4 linked regions of the Nothobranchius furzeri genome follow. The protein of the gene in region 3 interacts with the protein of the main gene of each other region in a pairwise test. Links are inferred from orthologs where the notes say so. Each region holds a gene or a part of one and is shown on either strand. Other genes may lie near its edges.

Evidence for each region.
Region 1: the proteins of tex11 (region 3) and atxn3 interact in binary tests that used the Homo sapiens proteins (3 or more experiments, as listed by UniProt). The link is inferred for Nothobranchius furzeri from reciprocal best matches to the Homo sapiens genes TEX11 and ATXN3.
Region 2: the proteins of tex11 (region 3) and efhc1 interact in binary tests that used the Homo sapiens proteins (3 or more experiments, as listed by UniProt). The two-hybrid records come from large-scale screens. The link is inferred for Nothobranchius furzeri from reciprocal best matches to the Homo sapiens genes TEX11 and EFHC1.
Region 4: the proteins of tex11 (region 3) and pom121 interact in binary tests that used the Homo sapiens proteins (3 or more experiments, as listed by UniProt). The two-hybrid records come from large-scale screens. The link is inferred for Nothobranchius furzeri from reciprocal best matches to the Homo sapiens genes TEX11 and POM121.

Annotation. Positions count from the first base shown.
Region 1 is NC_091758.1:31,656,002-31,660,143, reverse strand, and holds atxn3 (ataxin-3), read left to right. Parts: upstream 1-1,384; 5' UTR 1,385-1,474; coding exon 1,475-1,498; intron 1,499-1,877; coding exon 1,878-2,042; intron 2,043-2,131; coding exon 2,132-2,176; intron 2,177-2,257; coding exon 2,258-2,343; intron 2,344-2,424; coding exon 2,425-2,491; intron 2,492-2,572; coding exon 2,573-2,660; intron 2,661-2,736; coding exon 2,737-2,866; intron 2,867-2,938; coding exon 2,939-3,102; intron 3,103-3,205; coding exon 3,206-3,362; intron 3,363-3,438; coding exon 3,439-3,500; intron 3,501-3,575; coding exon 3,576-3,628; 3' UTR 3,629-3,642; downstream 3,643-4,142. Other genes in the region: E3 ubiquitin-protein ligase UBR1, read right to left, coding at 1,298-1,342. UniProt on the Homo sapiens protein: Deubiquitinating enzyme involved in protein homeostasis maintenance, transcription, cytoskeleton regulation, myogenesis and degradation of misfolded chaperone substrates.
Region 2 is NC_091742.1:6,295,663-6,299,828, forward strand, and holds the start of efhc1 (EF-hand domain-containing protein 1), read right to left. Parts: upstream 2,801-4,166; 5' UTR 2,659-2,800; coding exon 2,593-2,658; intron 1,513-2,592; coding exon 1,291-1,512; intron 1,212-1,290; coding exon 924-1,211; intron 819-923; coding exon 669-818; intron 1-668. UniProt on the Homo sapiens protein: Microtubule inner protein (MIP) part of the dynein-decorated doublet microtubules (DMTs) in cilia axoneme, which is required for motile cilia beating.
Region 3 is NC_091741.1:84,269,679-84,273,178, reverse strand, and holds part of tex11 (testis-expressed protein 11), read left to right. Parts: intron 1-1,477; coding exon 1,478-1,590; intron 1,591-1,849; coding exon 1,850-1,934; intron 1,935-2,098; coding exon 2,099-2,178; intron 2,179-2,261; coding exon 2,262-2,342; intron 2,343-2,463; coding exon 2,464-2,583; intron 2,584-2,805; coding exon 2,806-2,886; intron 2,887-3,008; coding exon 3,009-3,094; intron 3,095-3,165; coding exon 3,166-3,223; intron 3,224-3,297; coding exon 3,298-3,393; intron 3,394-3,479; coding exon 3,480-3,500. UniProt on the Homo sapiens protein: Regulator of crossing-over during meiosis. Involved in initiation and/or maintenance of chromosome synapsis and formation of crossovers.
Region 4 is NC_091750.1:52,615,023-52,619,023, reverse strand, and holds the start of pom121 (nuclear envelope pore membrane protein POM 121), read left to right. Parts: upstream 1-1,201; 5' UTR 1,202-1,334; coding exon 1,335-1,900; intron 1,901-2,380; coding exon 2,381-2,587; intron 2,588-2,744; coding exon 2,745-2,894; intron 2,895-2,987; coding exon 2,988-3,068; intron 3,069-3,153; coding exon 3,154-3,325; intron 3,326-3,407; coding exon 3,408-3,496; intron 3,497-3,575; coding exon 3,576-3,655; intron 3,656-3,753; coding exon 3,754-3,875; intron 3,876-3,948; coding exon 3,949-4,001. UniProt on the Homo sapiens protein: Essential component of the nuclear pore complex (NPC). The repeat-containing domain may be involved in anchoring components of the pore complex to the pore membrane. When overexpressed in cells induces the formation of cytoplasmic annulate lamellae (AL).

The DNA of each region.
Region 1 (4,142 bases), on a different chromosome or scaffold from region 3:
TATTTAGATAATAGGATTATCAAGCAGTTCATGCAGATCTGTCACCTGAAAACATGTGATGTGAGTCTCCTCTTCTAAAATGTGATTAATTCGATTCAGATGTAGTGACTGTAGCGGCTTGAATAAAACATCATTTTGAGATGATTAGAGCTTTGTAGTATTATCCTGCTGGATGTAGCCGTCAGAGCATGGGTCCAGTGTGGAAACACAAGTATGGACACTATCGCCAACAATAATCAGGTACGGGCCCAGACCATTACATCACCACCAGCAGCCTGAACCGTTAAGATGGATCCATGTTTTCAAGTTGTTAACATCAAAGTCTAACCTAACATTTATGAATGTTGCAGCTGAAGTTGAGATGCAACCTTTTGCTAATATCATGATGAAAACTGCAACACTCAGACCAGCCTGCCTGGCACCAGCACAAAACCACATTCATTACCACTGAAATCCCCTTTCTTCCCCAGATAATCAGACAAAACTTCATCATGTCCACATGTCTAAATGCTACCACCTGATTGGCTGTTTGTGTTAATAAGCATCTGAACTGGTTTACCTGCTAAACAAACTGGTGAGTGTATGGTACATCCACGCCAGGAGTCTGTTTAGGTTCACTTACATAAATATGCATCATCAGAACAAATATGTTTTTGTGTACCAACTGAACACCTTGAAAATAATACAATGGATTGGATGAAGCAAGTAAAATTATACAAAAATTATATTTCGGTTTTGAAAATAAAACTGAAATAATTTATTTTATACGAAACTAAAACAAAAACCACATTAGACGGATTTCTCAATAATAAAACACAAAGGCTGTAACTACATTAGGACGTTTAAAAATGCGTGATTATGTTGGTGTTTGGGAGGCGAAAATATCTGAACAGGTAAACCTAAATATGAATAACAACACAGTAACAGTAGACTAGTTTACTTTCACTGTAAATAAACGGAAAAGGCATTCAGGACCTCAGGCTAAGCATTTTAAATGTCATGTGTAAGCACAGAGGGGAAAGACAAACACTTACATCATTTCTCATGGAAAAAGACTAAATTTATCCCGAAAAGAAGTAAAAATAAAGTCGGTTTATCCGTAATAAACAGCGTGATGCCTCTCTAATGCTAGTTAGCCTTGGCGGCTACGACTATTATTAGCCTGGCAAGAACAACCTTCTACCATAATGCAGTAAAACCTTATTACACATGATTTTTTTTTTATTTTAAACTCCGTCGTTTTGCCACAAACTCTCAGAAAGCGCTGTCAACGGAATTAGCTGAGAGAACATCATACCTGACTCAGCTCCAGCCTGTTCATGGAATTCTCACTGTCCGCCATATTCCATTTGCCGTAAGTAGAGGCGTCCAGCACTGTGCCGCGCGCACGCCCGCCCGCTAGGGGGCGTCTCCTCTCGATAGGGCGAGTGAGGGGCGGGGGTTAGAGAGTTGAACGTTTGACAGAAAGCTGAATATGGACTCCATATTTCATGAGAAAGTAGGTTTAAACATTTTATAACACGAATTTACCTGATTATATTTACTGATTTTTGATTAAGCGGTGTCGGTGCTCGATCTGCTGAATAGTTTTACCAGTTAAGTAGCCGCTATCGAGGCGTTTGTGATGGAGTTGTTGTACAAACTGCTAATACGCTAATTCACTTGCTAGTCAGAGAATGTGAAAAGTTAGATTTTTAACATGATAACTATTCCTGGCGTCATGTAGGGGTTTTGTTTTCTTGTTAGTTAATCGCTCTCTGCTTGGCTGGGTCCTCGTTGGGCTAGCTGCTACATGTGTTTGTTTTGGTTGAGCATCTTTATTCCAGAAGTCCAGCTGATGCTGGATGCTTGTTACATTCCTGATCCTTTGTTTGCAGCAAGAGGGCTCCCTCTGTGCCCAGCACTGCCTCAACAACCTTCTGCAGGGCGAGTATTTCACTCCTGTGGACCTGTCCTCTATCGCTCATCAGCTTGATGAAGAGGAGAGGATGAGGATGGCAGAGGGGGGAATGGCTAGTGAGGAGTACAGGACCTTTTTACAGGTGTTATGAGACAGAGGGTACATATTGGTACAAAATGTTATCAAAAATGTAATTTTATTCATGTTTTTCTTTCGAAAATGTGTTTAAAGCAACCCTCTGGGAACATGGATGATAGTGGGTTCTTTTCAATACAAGTGAGTTTACAATTATCTTTTTATTGCTTCTAAAATCCATGTCCTCTTCTGTAATATCACTCTTGTTTCAATATTTTCAAGGTGATTAGCAATGCTCTTCGAGTCTGGGGCTTGGAGCTACTCCTCTTTAATAGTCGAGAGTACCAGAGCCTAATGATAAACCCAGTGTAAGGTTTTAATGTGGAAACATTATGATAGAAGATCCTGATCTCTCATTTCTTTAAGCTGATGCTTACTTTGTGTTTCAGAAATGAGAAAGCCTTCATTTGCAATTATAAGGAGCACTGGTTTACTATACGCAAACTTGGACAACAGGTGTGTGGCACTCACTCACTTACCTAGTCATACTTGTCTTATAGCAGCTTGATTCACTAAAATTCTCTGTTTCCTTTGCAGTGGTTTAACCTGAATTCACTGTTGACAGGACCAGAGTTGATATCAGACACATATTTAGCACTTTTCCTTGCACAGCTACAACAAGAAGGTAGCATCAGAAACTGTACATTTAGAGGTTGAACTGGAGAAAAGATGATTAAATTAGTTCTTTTTTTTTTTTGCAGGGTATTCCATATTTGTGATCCGAGGGAATCTCCCTGAGTGTGAGGCAGAGCAGATTCTTGGGATCATGAGGGTCCATCAGCAGCAGCGGCCAAGGCTCATCGGAGAGGAGGAAGCGCAGACGAGTGCGGGGTGTGTGTCATTTTGTTCACAAGGGTTCTGGTTTGTTTAACTCGTCTGATTCGTGCGTTTTGCTGTAAGCAGAAGGTCGGCTGCTCTGAGCCAGACAGAGGTGGTTTTTGGTGTTGAGGATGAGTCTGTGGGTGAAGATGAAGAACTGAAGAGAGCTCTGGCGCTCAGTAGACAGGACATGGATGTGGAAGATGAAGATGCTGATCTACGCAGAGCCATACAGCTCAGCATGCAAGGTCAATTGTGTGCCATGTGAAGGTTTTAAAACTGTTTGAAACTTGTATTAAACTTCTAAACATTAGTTTGTAAAATTAACTATTTGCATTTGTCTTTCTGCAGGAGCAGTGATGAGCAACAGGATGTCAGACAGTGAAGGGGAGGGTGTAAAATCTGGAGGGCAGGCAGCAGAGAGCACTACAGGAGAACAAAAAGAAGGCCAAAACGAGACGCTTACAGCCGAAGAGCTGAGGAAGAGGAGACGAGCCTACTTCGATCGGTAAGATCTACAACGACTGTTTAAATCCCTAAACGAGCTCTGCCCACTTAGAAAACAGATGTTTCTGTGTTTATAGGCAGCAACAAGCTCAGCCAAGCATTCCTCAACAAGCAGACAAACATTCAGCGGCTGATCCAGGTGATTAAATCTAACTTAGTTCAGAAGTCATGTGACTTGATGACTCGTTTAACCTGTGGCTCTTATTTCCACCAGGATCAGTAAACACTGGCTCTGAGGAGGACCAACAACAAGCTCCCATCCAATAAAGTGGTGAAAGTTTTGTCCGTGTTGTTTACCTGCAGCCTGGATTCAACTCCCCTCTCAGGGGTGGCTTTGCTCCTTCTTCTAACCTTTTGCAAATGCAAACATAAGGGCAGTCAGAAGGCTGACACGTGGTTACTCCCCCGCCCCCTTCCCGCCTCGTTAGTCACTGACTGAGGAAGAGAAGAACGACAAAGAAAAGGCAGCACTTTCTCATCTGAATCTTTTAGAAAGCACGGCCACTGGACCGGAGAAGACTCACGATGCAGTTTAATCCAAGTTTGCAATTTGCCTTTTTACCATGGCGCCTTCTATTTCTATCGTACAGTTTTATATCCTGGTTTTGTGTTTCTTTTCTTAAACACGTGGAAGTTATGTCCTTACTTGCTGAGAGGTAAAACGAAAAGGCGTTCAACAGAAGCAATATGAGACCAACGTTTAGATTAAAGCTTTACGGAAAACAACAAAGCCTCCTGATTTTGTAGCGGTTTTTCGTGCAACACACAAGTAATTAAAACA
Region 2 (4,166 bases), on a different chromosome or scaffold from region 3:
ACAACTATTAAAAAAATACAGTTGCACATGTTGCCTACAACACAGAGCTTCAACCAGAGGGCAGAAGAAATGTACAGGATTCAGGTTTTTGAGGAAAGTACAAATCCTGTTAAAGCTCTTAAAAACAGATTTGTCAAATATTAAACATTTGGTATTAATGGGATGTTACATATATGTCAAAGTGGACTATGTTACACAGTTTCAAACCTCAGCAACAGTATCAAATCAACATAACGGCATTAATTAGGCAGAAATATTTAAAAAAAATGTTTAAAATATTATACAAAATTGAACTGTAACTAAGTATAAAATTGTATGGCAATGTGGAGGTTTATAAAATAATAAATGGTTGACATTTTGGAGTCTTTTTTTTACTTTTTAGTTGCTGAAATAAAGTGATTATAGTTAATCTGGATATAGGTTTTGTTGCAGGTAAGTAGTCTTAAATGTTCTTTAATGAGATGTCCTTTGGAACATACTACGATTGTACTTGCAACAGCCAGTATAAATCCATAAAATATACAAAACATTAACAAGTAACAATCCTGCACAAAATAGCATTCTTGTTATGTGCCTGTTCTCCTCCAACTGCATGTTAAAGTTGTAAAGGTCACCAGATGTGCTCGTTTTATTGCTGCAGTGACTTGGAAACAAGGACTTTCCTTTACCTTAAGGTCCATGGTAAGAAACCGGTGAGTTATGTCGGGTGTGGGTGAAGTGATACGGGGCGGTGGTGAGAGTTGACGATGTTTGATGTAAGGATCCTCAGGCATCGGCTCAGGCTCATTCAGAACTATACCCTCATGTTCCATGAAGTCCTGTTGAGTGAATGAAAAGCCTCAAACCAAAAGACTAGTTGCAGAAGCGGCTCACACACAACACTTGTTTCATAGGGATGATAACAGGAATCAGGAGTGATGTACCTTTGTGAATGTATCACAGTGAGTAAGATGGTACTTGTATCCATACACTTCCAGGTCTATACCAAGGTTGAAGTCTTTCCAGTGGTAATAGTCTCCACGGTCATTCTTTGGCACCCGATGGCGTTTGAGCCGCTTCCCCTGTGATATCCCAGAGTTCATCACTGCGGACTCCCAGATGCACATGCTGTCATCCTCGAGATAGTAATAAATGACCACATGGCGTATACGGTGATCCTCGTCAGGTGAATTCCAGACATCCTCCAAGAAGTATGCAAAGAAACAAAGTACCTAGAATACAAGCAGATGGTTGTCAACAGTAATTTACATTTTATGGATAAATGATCATATCAGATTTTCTAGGTTCAACCTTTTTGTCGAATTTCACATAAGCTGGGATGAAGTCTTCGTATACTGTCTTGTCATCAAAGTGATATGTAAGGTCTGGTTTCTCAAAGGACAGCTCACTGATCTCCTGTTGGGACAGCTGCTCTGATACTAGAGGCTCCTGACCAATGCCAGCGGATGGGCGACGAGGCAAAGCAAAGCCGTTCTTATAGATCAGAGTCTGGGGTAGGTGGAAGGAGGACTTCTGTCGAAACAAATACTTTATTGTGGACTTAAATCACACCAGAAATTATGAAGTCATGTACACGAAACTTCACAATGTAGCATGACGCTTGTAGATGCAAAGTACATAGAATAAAAATATGACACTGGTGTATTTCCATGTAATTTTCTGTAATAAGTTGGTTAGTTTGAGTGATCCAGCACCAAAAGGTGTTATAGGTTTCGATTTACCAATTTTCCAATCACTAGCAGCTGTGAATAATAACTAAACTCTGTGTTCTTTAAAGAGTCACAGGCTCACAACGGCATTGTGACATCATATTGTACCAGCTAACACCATAGGGTATCTCTTAGCCAATGGCGATGACAGATTTAAATTCAAATGCAGTGCAGAATTTTCAGCTGAAGAGAGCACAACACTGATAGTTTTAGGCAGAAAATTAAAAATTTAACTAAAGTGCAAGACTATTGTCTACATGTGTCTGCAGCTCGATTACGCACATTTATATAGTTTATCAGAAAAAAAAGTTGATTTGGGGATGACTTGCTCTTTAAATGAACACTGGTCTAGAAAAGTTGTATTCTTATATAGTGTATAAGGTTTTTCATTCATTGCAAGCCAACTTGCACAAGGATTAATGATCAGTTTTGCTGATGTTGGTTTTACAGAACAGATGGTAAAATCCCCGCAGTTGAGAAAAATCTCATAGTAAAAGAGTATTTTAGCCGTCTTCTGCAAAAATGTGCTGTTACTAGACATTTCACACTAAAGCTTTATATTAACAAATAAGATGAATAAATTACAGATGTGAATAATTTGTGTAACAGTTCTTCTAAATGTTATCAGAACTTTTTTATGGAGCTGAAAGCATTCAACAATGTTTAAATATGTTTATCAATTATGACTAATTAGTAATTTCTTTTTTCCACAAATGCCTGAGGAATTATAGCAATGACATTTCTATTACAGAAATAAAAAGTAAAGGAATAATGAAAAACAGCAAAAGCCTGCAAAATGCTAACTTTAGTGTTTGTTTACCGGTCATTTACATCAAGAATTCTGTTTTGCTAGCTAGCTTTAGCTTCAGGTGTGTCAGTTTACCCTTTCCTCTCTAAACGAGTATCCTGGTAAAAATGGTATCCCATAGTTATTCCAGTTAAAAGCCATTTTCCCGGGAAGCAGTTTTCTAAATTATTGTCTCTAAAACAATTTGAGTCTCCTGAAGAGCTTCTCGAAATACAAAGCCACACGACAACGATTGAGGTTAGTTTGTAGTTTCCATGGAAACGATAAAACAGTAACAATTTCTAAAATTAAATACAGAAAAATAAAACTTCCGTCATAAAAAATGAGACAAATCAAATTTTACGATAAAAATGAACAGGAATAATAAAAAGAAATTAGAAATAAAATGATTTCTTAATTCTTTATATATTTTCTAATTCGTAAATAGCAAAACCCTCATGTGGCCACCAGGGGGCAACATTGCTCATTAAATCCTGCCGACTCTCCCTAACTTGGGTAACAAAGTTTGCTCTTATTTGCGTGACTACCTATCATTTGATTTGATTTGTTTCTGTGCTATGAGAAAAGGATTGTGCAGATAAAGCTGTGAAAATTAAAATTTCCAAGGAAAAACAACAGCAGTTTAAATTTGAACAGTTTATTCCAAGCACAGGAGTCTTACATTGTTATTAGCACATGTGAAATTCCTCCAAGTCTAGACAAGAAGATGGGAAACTTAATGCTTTAAAATGTTCCATTAAGACAATGAAAGCCTTTAAATGAATCTGACTATAGCTTATGTTATTAAACTGGTACTTGCACGTTTCATCTTCAGTGCTGGTTCCTTCTTCAGATGGCAGCAAGCAGTGATCACCATGAGCATCTGTTCAGCACTGACAGCTATGGAATTAGGCCGTGGTTTGTTGGAGCCCTGAAGTTCACACAATCTTTGATCATCAAAGACTAGAAAAAGTAATTTCAAGCAAAACCACATTTACAAATTTGGCATATTCTTGCAATTTTACAGAGTAGATGGCAAGTGCAATATTCAATAGAAACATTGAGGTTTTACACAAGCTCCACCTTTTCCATAGCAAAATGGTTGTATAAATAGAAATAGAAATGTGATTTCAGTTAAAAAAACACTAGTTATGGGTGACAACTATGACTTAATGGCTAAAAAAAGGCACTGCACTGTGAATTTCTGTATCAAAAATAACTATAAATCACTAAAATCCTCTTTGAGGCCTTTTACATCATATTTCAAAATTTCCTTAAATGCTGAAAAACCTATTTAATTGAGCCGATCATGGCTCGATGAGCACATCATCCAAACAGAAATACTAGGATTGCATCCCTGAGGTGCCAGGCAGCCTTTGCCACGTATAAAAATATCTCATAATTAAGCATACTTAAAACAAAGTAAACATAGATAAACTATTAAATATTATAAAATATTTTTCATAAGGGTTGAGATGAATCCCCTGCACACGTGTAGAAAAACTAAAATCTTTTGGTTTTATTAAGCTCAAAATGCAGCATGGTTATTCTCTGTGGAATGATTGTCCTACATCGACCCATTGTCAAGCATGTTTCATTCAAAATGCCCATCTGGTAAAGCACACGCTGAATACTGGAAAGTACTGAGCATAAAGCTCCAAGTGTAGCAG
Region 3 (3,500 bases):
AAACAAATAACATTATTACAAAATAACTAATTTTAGGTGAAATTTAGACACAAACTGAGGACAATATTATCCTGATATACAGAAGAAGAAGAAGAAGAAGAAAGTATAATTTCTATAGGGCCTCTCAAGATAAAAATCACGAGGCGCTTACAGGGTTTATGTAGTTGTCTGAAAATGTAACACATTTAAAAAAATATCGCAATAATACCAAAAACTGTGCTAAGTTTGGTCACAATAACTGTGAGGTTAAATTTTCACACCGTGACAACCCCATGCACAACTTATTGTTTTATACAGGTAAAAACGTGTAGTGGAGATAAATCTACCTACATTTTACTTTTCAACACTTTGTTTTCTTGTTTTTATTTAACTATTTTCCTGTCCTGTCTGTCTCTCATCTTCCTGCATCTCCTCTAAATTCTCCAGAAAGAGTGATGCCTGGATTCTTACTTTTTCACCTCATCAGTTACTTTTGAGCAGATCAAAGGGATCTCCTGACCGCAAAGCGGAGTGCGCTTTTCGATGGTGCGTCAGCGAGGTGAAATCACTGCAGCACAGGATAAGCGCGTCAGGAATGATTAAAAGACAGAATACCAGAGGATTTAAACAGATATGAACGATCATGTGTTAATAATAATCTTTTTTTGCACCACCTCGAGAATGTATCGTGCACCGGATGCAGCGGGCGCACCAACGATGAGCGCTCTGTGTCCTCTTCGCTCAACAGTCCCGCTACGCTGAGCGTTCATAAATATTGTAAAATAGGCAGAAACTGTATCTGTCCCTGACAGTTATCTAGCCCCCATAACTCAATCCCTGCTCCTGGATGAAAAACCAGACATTTTGATCAATGTAGGGACCCCCCCCCCCCCCCCCCCCCCCCCCCCCCGACGCCCCGGACAGAGACTGAAAAGTGGACATGTCCGGGGGAAAGAGGACGTATGGTCACCCTACAATAGCACCAACCATAGATATGTGCCAACTAGCGAGAAAAGCAATTTTTGATCATCTTTTTCTGCAGTGGTTTTAGCGCTTTTTGGTGCACCGCTGTTGATACAGCGCCCCTTAAGTGGCGCAACGCTGCAACTGCAGTTAAAATAACATCCATGTAGCTGGGGGCAGAGTGAAATCAGGCTGGGGCGGCACAAAAATAGCTGAAGGCAGCCGCCACGCAAATTTGAACGCAGGAAAAACCCTGATCAGTTAGAAATATTTTCTGTAGATTTTCCATTATGAACTCCGATTTGCTCTCAGTCTGAGTTTTAGGTGGATTTCTGTAGACTCTGTGTGTGTGTGTGTGTGTGTGTGTGTGTGTGTGTGTGTGTGTGTGTGTGTGTGTGTGTGTGTGTGTGTGTGTGTGTGTGTGTGTGTGTGTGTGTGTGTGTGTGTGTGTGTGTGTGTGTGTGTGTGTGTGGAGGCCTAATCTGTTGTTTGGGTCTTGTTGACTACTCTTTTATCTGCTTCTGCCTTTACTCAGGTCTCACAGAACAGTTGCTGCAGAAACATCTGACAGATTTTGATGCAGTTATAGAGGAACTGTTTACTGAAATCTCTGGCTTAGAGTTTTTACCCAAGATAACAGATGTGAAGGTATGTTCAGAGGGTCTGGAGCCCACAGTCAGAGTCAGGGATCAATACTGGTCCATATTGCTTCAAATAAAGTCTGACATAATGTTTGTAAACAAGTGCTGAACTAATATTTCAACATATAATAACCTATATTTCAGCACAGTTATTAGGTTTTTATGCTGAAGTTGTTTATCACAGAACGTATAAGAATGTATTAATTGTATTATAATTTTTATTATTAATGTGTATTAATATATATAAGCTGCATTGTCTTCTGCAGCTTGAGGACTGTGCTGTTCAGCTGTGGAACTGGGCAGTTACCAAACACAAGGGTGCTGCTTTAAGTGAAATTTCCAAGGCTAAAGGTACCATTTTCATCCTAGTTTGTCTGTATTTATTATTTGTAGTTCCAACAATGAATAATAAATACAGCAAGAGAAAATATTAAACATTTGACACAATGTGAGGCATGAGCTGGGCGAGTCACAGCTACATTGCATTATACTGCAACATTTTCTTTCCTATGCAGTCCGTCATGTTGCATGCAGTCTGCTCTACTACTGTGAGCCTGACAATCCAACAGAGGGCACCATCCGCAAGCAGATCCTGGTGAGAAGTGCTTCAGGTATCCTCAGTGAGTGCTCAGCGTTTCAGGAGAACAAGGCCCATTTGTCAGTGTCTAATCTTTACAGATGGCCAGCAAAACAGGGAGAACCTGGCTGGACTGCAAAAATCCCCAAATGGCAGATCATTTCTTGAAGCTTGCTGTCAAGGTGAATAAAAAATGAGCACACAAACTAAGAGAGAGAGAAAGAGAGAGCTGAGACCTGTGCAAGTTTAGAGCAAACAGAAATATGGTGTTTTTACAAACGACTGTTGATGCTGCATCCCTAGAGCCTGGAAACCCTCTACAGCCAGCTAACCACCAGAAGCAATGCAGCAGCTGACAGCTCTTCATCCAAGGCGGATGTGGAGAAGGATCTACTTAGAATTCTGTCATGCCAGGCAGAATCGGTGAGCATGTGATGTGATGTTCGACACCTTCAATGTGAATATTTGTTCTTGTGATATTTGGCAGCTTAGGAAGTGCTGTTCTGACAGACTTGCAGTGTGAAGTGTGAGACAGCAAAAATGTGAACTGAGAAACAATGAGGGGGAAATTTAGAGCAGCTGATAGTGAGTGTCACATTGTTTCCTGACATTTAGTAGGAAGTTCATGTCTGATCTTCTCTACAGGCCTTAACTCAAGGGAACCACCATGAGGCTGTGGGCTACGTGCAGCGCTGTAAAGACATGTTGCAACGACTCCCAAAAGATGTAAAAAAATCCCTCTATTATCACTCTAACAACAGTATATATTTATTGATTTATCACATTCACAGCACATATTGTTGTTGGAAGTGAGGGGGATGTTAACTGTGAACAAACTCTGAACACAGACGGCGTACCTCTCCTTCATGTGCTACAACTTTGGACTAGAAATGTACAATCTCAGGAAGTTTGAGGAGAGTTCTTTCTGGCTCGGGTAAAGACGATATTTAAAGTTTAAATTCAAGTGCTCAGAAACTAAACGGTGAGAATCTTGTTTTTTTTTAGCCAAAGCTATGACATCGGGAAAACAAACGTAAAGTATGGACCTGGATCAGATGTTCTGGTAAGACAGAACACAATTAGGTGACAGCAATGGCAACAGCTGTATGATGAAAAGGATTTCTCCTCTCTCTACAGGCTAAGGCTTTGCGGCTCCTCGCCACAGTTTATGTCGAGTGGGACTGCCAGCAATTTCAGGAGCAGGCCCTGAATGCTGTCAGCTTAGCCAACAAGGTGGGATATGAGTAGCGATTCTCTCACATTGTTCTCTGGAAACACAATGATACTCCATACCTGATTGATTCTGTGCATTCTGGCAGGAGTGTGTGAGCACATCTGGA
Region 4 (4,001 bases), on a different chromosome or scaffold from region 3:
AAAAATGTTCCGTTATCACAATAAAAGGTTAAATTTGCTTTTGCTTTCATTTGAAATGTTTTACAAAAATTGTTCAGCAGTTTCCCCTGAAGCCAATTAAACAGACTTCTAAAAGTTGCAGAATAGACCAATTTTAGATGGCAACATGTAAACGGTGTTAACAAAAAAAAATCTGCCACAATTGCCTTCAAAATTAAATCTCAAACTTAATTCCAAATCCCACTAGATCTCCACACTAACAGCTCATAAATATCAAATGCATGTAAAACTTAATGTTAGCATATTTTGAGGGCAGATCTGAGCTTTCAGAAGGAAGTATATGTATTTGTGGTTACAGCAAATAATTCAGACTTATCTATCTTTGAAATTGTTTCACAAGCAGGGAAGAGTCATCAAAACATGTTTGTGAAACCTAACGTTTAATTTAAAGCGAAGGTTACAATACTGGGATAAAGATGGAGCATTACCCTTGTCTTGGCATCAATGCACTGCTACCTGCTTGCTTTAGTATCCAGTATAAGGTACTTTAAAATCTATGCATGGCCTTAGGGCCTTACTCAACATTACTTTTGAGCTGCTGCTGTTCTACTCCTGTGGGTCTAAGGTCAGCTGATGAGATGGATGCTCCTGGAAGTCCCAAGAATGAGACCTAGCCTCTGAGGTGGGGGCTTTTAGTGTAGTCTGGAATGTGCTGCCTTTAAATATTAGGTTGGCATCATCGCTGTCTTGTTTTAAATCTCTTTTGAAACCCCTTTTTTATGGCTTTTAACTCCGCATGAGTCTTTTACTTTTAAGAGTAACATCTAAATTAACTTTTTTGTCTGTAGATGTGTAATCAGTGTGGCAATTTGGTGCAACTTTAAATTTAATTTCGGCCCAAAACTTTATATCTCCATCTTCAGGTTAAAAACTGCTCCACATTTATTTAGAATCAGCCACAGCTGATGGCTAAGCTGAAAAACGTGACATTGTCAGCAAATCACCACGTGGCTGCAGTGCACTGGTCTCCAGCTGAGGTAGCCGCACCTCCACCTGGCTCAACCACTCACCTGCCGATGTGACAAGTTGGCGCTCGGAGCCGCTTGCCCCATGCCTCCTTGAAAAAAACGCCCTCCTCTCCTTTTTCATCTAATGATCGCGGTTAACAGGAAACCCTCCAGAATGCTGCAGAATCTGAGTCTGCTATTTCCCTGAGCGGTAAGTCTGCTGTGAGTGTGTGCTTGCGTGCATAGGCGAGTGTGCACGGTGACGTGTGGATTGATGGTGTAGTTCGCTCCTGTGCTCGGTAGGGAGCGCTGCCGCGCGAGCAGTTGGATAGAGCAGCAGCATGTTGAATGCGAGAGAGGCGGCGCGCTACCGCCATGTCACCTAGGGAGAAACAGTTAGCGCTTCTCTCTGTTTTAGGATTAATCACCTTCGCTTTTTACTACATCCCCACTTTTCTGTACGCTACTTTAATTTTTGCAGCTTGTTGTTTTGCTTTTTATTATCACAGCGGAGAATCGTTTCCCGCCAGGTTAGGCCCGAATCCTCGGGTTGGATTAAACGTTTCGGGCGTGCTGCGGCGCTGGTCGTCGGGTTGGACAGCGACCGGCGTCTCGGTGGCCGCGCGGAGTAGAACGAAGAACCGCAACCGATCCGAGCACCATCACCGGGAGACAGAGGGACTCCCGAAGCTCAGTAAAACCGGGCTCTGTCGAGGAGAAGCCTTAGCAAGTGACTCGATTCTTTTCAGCCCTCGGGATTTTCTCATGGGGAGTTACATCGGGAAAGCCGAAAGTCCAGCGGCCGTCTCTGGGAGGCCAAAAGCCGGGAGAAATCCCCGGGAGCAACTGCGAGAACAACTGTCCAGACCCAACCATGCAGTTTATACCCCGAACAGGAGGCTTTCGTTCTCTGGGTGAGTTAATTAGGTTTATTAAGCTCTGATCCATCTGTTTAAATTCACGTGTTGCATGAAAAAGAAATGTTTATAGCGTTAGCTAGCTTGTTAGCACACAAAACCCACATGTTTGAAACGTATAAAGCTCTAACCAGAACTCTTTAACTTGGAATCGTTTTAAAAACATCCAATAACTTTGTTTCATTGGCTTCTTTTACTCATGCTTTTAGCTAAGTTACTGTGATAAATCTTTTGTTTTGATGGCTTGTTGTGTCTACACGCTTGTGTTGTCTAAAAACTAACAGAGCATTTTACTAACTTTTCGTTAAAGTGCATATCTTTACTTTTTGGTTAGGATGAGCAGCATAGTTTCTTTTTCTATGCAGCTGCATGTTTCACATGTAAAGTGATTGTTTTATATTGTTTTATTTCTATTCCATAACATCTGTACGTTTTAACCTGCTGAAGTTGTTCCTTCCATTACAATCTCCTCTGCAGGGAGCCTCTGGGTGCAGCTAACAGGTTCACCATCACCCCCCAGCGTCGCTACCCCCTTCAGCAGCCTGGAGTCTCCTCAGTAGGAGTCCTGCCTCCTGTCAAGTGGGATGGTTTCAGAAAAAAGAACATCCTGAGTCCTCGAAATTCCCCTGCTGCTCTCAGTCCCGTCACTGTAAAGATCGCCAGGCCCGACCACAACATTCCCAGGTCTCTGCAGGTTAAATGTTTTTGGGCACGACCGTTTATTTTTAATTTTTAATTTTTTGTCTTTTAATTTACTATTTGGATAGCCCTTGATTTGTTGCTTGAGGTCTTGCTACTTTCAGCCGAATCAGTGCTGACTGTCCTCTGCTCTGGTTTTTAGTGTGAATCATCTGAGTTGTGCAGGGCTCACCAGGGTCCCGGCAGACCCCTGCTCCAGAGAGAGCGTCCTCAAGGTGTTGAAGGAAAGCCGCAAGAGGGAAGTAGAGGATGAGGACAGGAGCTTCACCGCTGAGCAAAGAAGCAAAAGAAGGTAGAAAATTTGTTTAATAGATTCTTGAGGTACTGTCTGCTCAGTCTGGACAATAGCAGCTGTCTTATGGTTTCTTTTTATGGCTTTTCTTAGGCGCAATGACAGCGGTGGAAGTTCGCACTCTGCTTTTGAGCCTCTGTTGCCTAATGGAGCACCATCCCAGCTGGTCCCTAAGTGAGTAAGAATTGTATGTAAAGCTGAATCATAATCTTAGATGTTGGACAAAGCTTTAAATGTTGTTTTTATTAATGTTCTCCAGACCAGGGAGCCTAAAAAGAGGGATGACCGCATCCTTAGACGAGACCACCATGAAGAGGTCTCGCACCTCCTCCATCAGCTCTAGTTCTGGAGTTCATGCCCCGAGAGGAACTTCGGGTACCAGAAGAAATGCAATCCAAAGCTCCTACAGCTCTTCGATAGGTTTTAGTCAGGTATCTTCATCTACCGGAGTCTAGTAAAGGGGGTTTTTGCATAGCAAAAGCAAATCGAAGCATTTTTTGTTTTTCTTTACAGTGGAAGAAACCATCTGCACCCAGCTCTCCTCTATCGAGCCCTGAATCGTCTCGCTCTCAGACTCCAGAGGGATTTGCCAAAAGACCCAGGTCTGTTTCTGCATGTTTGTCATCATTAAACCACATTTAACTACAAATTAAAGCTTTTTTTATGTTTTCTAATCAACAGAGAGGATGACACTCAGTCTCCAAGCTCTGCATCCTCAGTGAAGTCGGACCACACTGCATCAGACAAGACCCTTGATACCAGTAATTCCCATTTATCTGTAGATGACTTTTCCAATTTAGATGATTCATGTTCAAAGTATGGTCACAAACAAATATGATGTTGTTTCATAATATTGCAGTAAAACAAACTCCGGTGATCAAATCCCCAGTCACAACCTCTGCAGACTCGACTGGAAGTGGTGGGAAGAGAAAACGGAAGATCCAGCTGGTGTCCAGCCACCGAGATGATCGCATCTCTCTGGTGAGGAGCGCTGATCTCCCTCACATTTGTTTATTTGCATCCAGATTGCATTATTGTGGTTGTTCATGTGCAGCCTCCACCTCCTGAGCTGGGCTACACCATCACAGCCAAAGATCTAGACGAAGA